2 separate regions of the Mus musculus genome follow, and region 1 is reported to be linked to region 2. Evidence: microRNA targets listed by miRTarBase, many of them from high-throughput screens and not tested one by one. Region 2 holds a microRNA gene; the other region holds the end of a gene's coding sequence.

Region 1 (3,000 bases), not on the chromosome of region 2:
ACTGTTGGCCATGGTGTTTGCAGAGACCCCCACACTATGCAAGTACAAAGATCTGCAGTTTGACCCTCAGCAACCACAAAAGAGCCAGGCACAGAAGTGTGAACTTGGGAATGCCAGGACCACAGGAAGATAGAGACAGGAGATCCTGGAGGCCTACTAGAGAGTCTACTAAGTGGAAAGGACAGGTGTTGGGCTCAATGAGACTGTCTCAAAACCAAGGTGGGCAAGGGATGAGGATGCCCAGTGTGAAGCCCTTAATCCCAGCACTTGGGAGGCAGAGGCAGGTGGATCTGAGTTCAAGGCCAGGTCTAGAGTGAGTTCCAGGACAGCCAGGGCCACACAGTGACCCTCTCTTGAAATACCAAAAAAAAAAAAAAAAAAAAAAAAAGTAAAAGACACCCAGTGTCAATCACTGACATTTGACAGATGCTCTGCACCTCTGGCTTTGCTGCAGGATTCCTTTACTGAAGGAGGGCCAAGTCAGCATGGTACCACTGAGACAGATTTTTTTTTTTTTTTAAACACTGATTATCTCAATCTGTACACTATGTAGTCTGTGGGAATTATCTCCACGGCAATCCTCCTGCCTCAGCCTCCTTAGTGCTGGGATATTAAGACAAGTTGAGATTCTGGATACCTACGAGCACAGACTTAGACAAACACTCCTGACAACAACATTGTCTTTAGCTCCTTCCTAGACAGAGGTTGGGGTTGTAGGTCACTCTTGCTGGATCAGTCTACCAAACAGCACACCTGTCACCTCCACACCCTGGAGGCTGAGGTACATTTCAAGGCCAGCATGGAGAAGTCCACATACACTAAGACCTCAAAAGATGCTGGAGTCTTAAAGTCAGAGGTTTCTCTTTGGATCCAATCAAGATTGAACAAATACTGAATGTGGCATATTATCAGGTGACCTTTCAGGACACTACTACCATGTTTCCTGGCTGCTACGGAGTTTAAGGTTTGTTTACATTTATCCTTGCCAGATGAAATCTCAGTTGTTACCAAGTTGCTTAATTCTCCTAGTTCTTGTCAACTAAAAATCTGATCAACAGAATCTTCATGTCTGTTTTGTGGCAGTCTCTGGACTGCCCTGAAACTGTGTATGTTGGTCTGTGTACCAGACTCTCATCTGCAGAGATCTACAGAGCTCTGGCCGGGCAGGGGTGGCCAAAGAGTTGGGCTTTCTGAAGGGGACGGGGGACTAGGAGCAAAGGTTGGGGCCACCTAGTGTAAGTGACCACGGCAGGCTTGGGCAGCTTCTAGCGGTTATGTGCTACCACAACAGCTTTGCTCACTTAAACCACTTCACTATTATTGGTGGAGGTCAGAGAACAAGTTTGTGGATTCCCCCCACCCCCAACACAACAGGCCCTTACTAGTTGAGCCATCTTGCCAGCCCTTCAATTCCACACACACCAACACACCAAAATACACAGCCCAAGGCAAGGCGAATGTTCCTCTTCCGGCTGGTCTTGGTCTTTTCATAACTCACCTTTTGACTAGCTTGTCCAAATAGCTACCTATCTACTTAACAAGGCTAAGAGGCTGGGAGGTTCCATAATGCAATCAGTTTACCCAGTTAGCATTGTCCTGAGAAGGCAACCTCTGTAAAAGATGGAATAGGCACCTGAGGGACCCAACAATATCCATCCTTAGCTACAAACGTCAGGTTAAATATTATTTAACCTGGGCAGAAAGAATTGAAATCAAGGGATCTGATGATGTGACTCATGAATCCAGGAATTTCTTGCTACTTTACAATCAAGTAAATACTTGAAAAGGACTACAGGAAGAGTCTAGCCTAGTGTGTGGCAAAGTGTACCTGCATAGGACTCAGTAAACAACACTAGGCATTTGACTGTATTACTAATACAGTTTGTTAGGGGATCTTGGACCAGAAGTTACTGTCAAGTGTTATGAGCACATAACAATGTTTGATAGGTGAACTGAACTCATTTCCTTATGGTGACACAATCTCACTGTAAGTGAGGAAACATTGTAGACTCAAGGCATCTGGAAAATAAGTATGAGCTACATTATTCTGCAAGATTATGTTGCTGTAAAAAATATAAAACAGCCAGGCATGGTGGAGCACACCTTTAATCCTGCCACTGGGGAGATGAGGCAGATTTCTGTGTTCCAGGTCAGCCAATGATACACATTGAGACTCTGTCTCAACAACAAAAGACTGGAGAAAACAAGAAAGCACGGCTATCTGTTGTGAACCCCAAGCAAGAGAACTTAATGTACATTCTTTTTGTTTGTTTTTAAAGATTCATTTATTTTATGTATATGAATACACTGTAGCTGTCTTCATGCACCAGAAGAGGGCATCAGATCTCATTACAGATGGTTGTGAGCCACCATGTGGTTGCTGGGATTTGAACTCAGGACCTTTGGAAGAGCAGTCAGTGCCATGTCCCCAGCCTCTGTTTGTTTGTTTGTTGAGACAGGGTTTCTCTGTGTAGCTCTGGCTGTCCTGGAACTTGTTTTGTAGACCAGGCTGGCCTTGAACTCAGAGATCTGCCTGCCTCTGCCTCCTGAGTGTGTAAAGGAGTGCCGCAGAACACAGTAGTAACTCTAACACTGTAATCAGCAAGCTCTAATCACTGTAACCGGGTTCTCCTCAGCTCTCCTACTCTACAGACACAGCTCTGCTTTCACCGCCATCTCATTCCCATAGGGCTTTAGCAGGGGGCGCACTTCCTCTTCCAGGAATCTGTGGACCTGCCAGGGAAGAGCAAACACAAGACGAAGGAAGGGAATGTTAATACCTTCTTCAAACCACTCCCAGCACCAAGACCTAGCATGCTAAAGCTTCCTCCGCTGAGCGTGTGCTGTTAGCTATGTCTCCCAGAAAGAAACACGTCAACCCAGCACATGCATAAAGACCATCATGCAGAGGCAGGCCACCTTCTCTTCAGTTCCTCTCAAGTCTGCCAGACACCCACATTGAAGTCGTACATCCCCCCACTCTCAGCTCTAGGCTCATCT
Region 2 (3,532 bases):
ACTTTCTCATTCAGTGGAGAGATGAAGGCATATCCAAATATAAGGACTGGGGATAGTGATTCCCAAAGGGCCTAGGTATTTGGTCCATACTACTGAAAAGGATGATTCCTGGGGGAAGGGGATATTGAGTCAAAATCTTTGTAGGGGAAGATGAATCCTGTTTTAGACATGCCCACAAGTTAGCTGGGTAGAAACTGTTTACACGGTGAAGAGGGTAGATACTTCTAAGTATTATAACACTTCTACCATTTGAATATTGATTATTTAATATTTAATGCATTATAGATGTATGACATCAGGGAAATTGATGATCCTCATAAAACAATTAACCATGTGTGGCCCCTTTAACCACATCACAAGACACAAGTCCCTGTCAAGACTCATCTCTCAGTGACTTTCAGTGAGAGGAATTTACTGACGTTGGCAAGCTGAACATTCCTAAGAATGAAGTCCTGAAGCAAACAGGTGTGAATCCTGCTCCTGTGGAGCTTAGAAAGACACACTACGCGTGCTCCTGACAGGAGAGACTACAATCAACCACCTCCCCTCAGGACATTCTCAGATAGAATTTGTTTTTGTTCAGCTTATTCTTTTCTGTAAAAGAGATCCCTTATTTGTGTTTGTGTTTTAACGCTTAATTTACTCATATTTGTATGAATGTATGTGACTGTATTTAAAAAGCCTAAACTAATATGACTGAACCACTAAAGAAGGGAGGATGACAGTGCCCTTGTGGGACAGCTATTCAAAGTTTATCTATTTGGAAACCATTTGCAGGCTCACTTGATATGTGGGCTACCTGCTCATTGTCTTCTAATCAAATTAAAAGCTGGGATGAGGTATGTGTATACACACACATACACACACACACACACTTTTACTCTTTTTTTTAACTACAAGTTTTAGACATTAGGAATTATTTTCCTTAGGTATCTTTCCAGAACCATATTCTAAATTCTATCCCTGTACGTTTTGGCAACTCATTAAGAAATATTCTTGTAACAACTGGAAATTCATGGGAGCCTGAGGGAAACACTATGTGTAAGGATGCTAAATAGAAACACTCTACACTTGTGTTTTCAGCAACATCTTTATTAGGTTTGACACATTGTAACATCAGTAGGAGTGGGGATAACATGAGGGAGGTATTGGTAGCTGATTGGGGCAGCTTCACACTTAGCACTCCTGCAATACTGAAACAAACTCCAGTGAACTCGCTTTGGAGCTTGGTTCAGTAGAGATTGTTTCAACACTGAAAGAATGAAATCTCAGAACCTCTGTTATCAGAGAAGCCACAGAATTCTGGGCTGCTTCCAGCCTGGTCCTTGCTTGGGCATTGAACTCTCTAATGACCTTCTTCCTAAATAACATGCACCTTGAAGTACTTCATTTACAGATGGGTGGATGGATAGATAGATGATAGACAGGCAGATAGAAATATACATTATTTTTCTAATAATGAAATTAGTACTACTTAAGATTGAATTTATATATAAACATTTTACATTGTTAATTAAACTTTTCTGATAATTTCATGCAAATAAAATTGCTAATGAGATAGCATTATTTTCAACAGTAATAAGAAAAACTAAAGCCAGCAGTGATATCATGAGACAATCAAGCAATATGCATCACATGAAGCAATTTGACTAATTTATTATTATTGAGCTTATGATGCAACAAATATATAATGCCATGCTTATATAAAGGTGACAATGACACACAAACATGTCACATGTCTTTAAAAACTAACCAACACACAAGCCTATATCTTACTTGTTGTTCCATGTAACAGTTTAGCTGCCATATATGTGGTGTCATTCTGGAAGACTTTAGAAAGTGTCATCACACATATGACAACCAAGCTGCCACTGCAGCAGTTAGCAGCAGATGAGGCGTCACCAGGTCCTGTTGTAGGTTCTGAAAACTCAGCAGTACATTTGCTAGCATGGTTTCTGCCCTCATGGGGCTTACATTCTAGAAGGTTTAATTCATAATGATCATGACGTACAGAAGGAAATGGCCTCAGGTGACATGACTTTGTGCTAGGGTCAATCCTACTTTGATATGAGTTAATCAGTTTGCTTTTGGGTTACCAGAGGTTTCTAAAAGTACCATAATAATGAGAGCCTGTTCTAGAGTGTTGTAAGCAGTCCTCTTGCACTTAGATCAGGTTCACCAGATCCATGGGTAATAGGGACATGGATTCAGACCATACTGTTGAAGGTGATGTGATGGTGTGTCCATAATTTTGATACAAATTTACACCAATAGAGTGTTCTAAGGCAATTACACCTCTAACTAGCCAAATCTTTATGAGTAAAGAAACATGAAGTTATATAATATGAATCTGAACTTAAAAGGCACAAAAGAGTTACAGAATACCAGTGATTCCTAAAGTACTGAAGATTCTTAGTTTTGATCAGAAATTCATTGGAGAGAAATCAAGGGCTAGAGTGGCAGAGTTCAGATGTTTTAAAAGCATTGAAGAGCCCAGAAGCCACAATCCAAATCCACATTTCAAAAACATGTAAAAAATGTATACAGGCTGTCTGTACTATGAATCTGACACAAATTATTATGAACTTCCCCAAACAAATGGAATTTAATTGTTCGGATAAATTATGACAATAATCAAAATGAGCAAACATCCAAAGGACATTTCTCACATCCTTCAAGAAGAATGACAGTTTGGAGAAGCCCAGTTTTGGTTTCCTTTCAGTTGCCAGTTCACCCACACTCAGACACTCCTCTCTACTCTCCATGACCATTAACAGGAAACAGAACAATCTTCACTCACCACTAGGAGCAGGAGCAGCAGGGTGAACCTGTTCACGAGAAGGAACCTCATCTTCGGTTTGCGGAGATTCCGCCTTTTCCTGGAAAAAGAGTAATGAAGATGTAAAATGGTATAGCTCTCAGATCTTTACCCTGTTCCCTCTCCAGATGCACTACATACAATGGCATGGAAACAAGACTATTATGCCTGTGACATACCTGCATGTACATGTTTCACTGTTCCTTTTGTCAAGTGGGCTGTTGTCTATAAAGCGCTATTAAAATTTCTGACCATATCTATTGACATTTTCATCAGCTAAAGTGAGATTTCCTGGCTTTAAAAGGTATTAAGTTGAACGAAACAGTTTAATACAGGTTATAAGAAAAATGGCAAGATCTATTTTGAACATGGGGGATGGAAAGCCAAGTGAAAGATGTATGAAGAAGGAAATCAGCTAATGAAATACATTTTTAAGGTATCAGTCAGTATATAGGTACAATTTTAGCACTAGCTTGAAAATTGGTATAATTTATTATTATTCATCAAGTTTAGCAAGCCATGTGTGCTATGTGATAAAATAAACTATAGGACACAAAATAAAATTCCCACCAGAGCATTTATCAATTTAAAACTGATTTTCAAGACAATCTTGGTATTTTTAAATTAACTGATCTGAGAATCTAAGTATTGCAGTTGATATATACATACTACAGATAAGGCATATGCAACATATGCATTATATCTGAGCTACTT

The links. Region 2 holds the annotated microRNA mmu-miR-653-5p (GUGUUGAAACAAUCUCUACUG, at 1,233-1,253, opposite strand). A microRNA usually pairs through its seed, bases 2 to 8, with sites in the 3' UTR of a target mRNA and lowers its output. Matches are read on the target gene's strand: a 7mer-m8 pairs with bases 2 to 8, a 7mer-A1 pairs with bases 2 to 7 and ends in A, and an 8mer does both.
Region 1: the mRNA of Adsl is a reported target of mmu-miR-653-5p. Seed matches in the 3' UTR shown: 7mer-A1 at 2,448-2,454.

Annotation. Positions count from the first base shown.
Region 1 is chr15:80,968,395-80,971,394 of GRCm38, reverse strand. Adsl (adenylosuccinate lyase) reads right to left here. Exons shown (of 13, transcript NM_009634.6): 13 at 448-2,733. The coding sequence ends at 2,647. Among named protein-coding and RNA genes, the nearest start is that of Sgsm3, 7.9 kb to the left of the region's middle.
Region 2 is chr6:3,720,123-3,723,654 of GRCm38, forward strand. It overlaps Mir653 (microRNA 653), which reads right to left and starts at 1,263; the gene lies at 1,179-1,263. Calcr (calcitonin receptor) reads right to left here. Exons shown (of 16, transcript NM_001377018.1): 4 at 2,801-2,879. Mir489 (microRNA 489) reads right to left here and starts at 1,881; the gene lies at 1,775-1,881.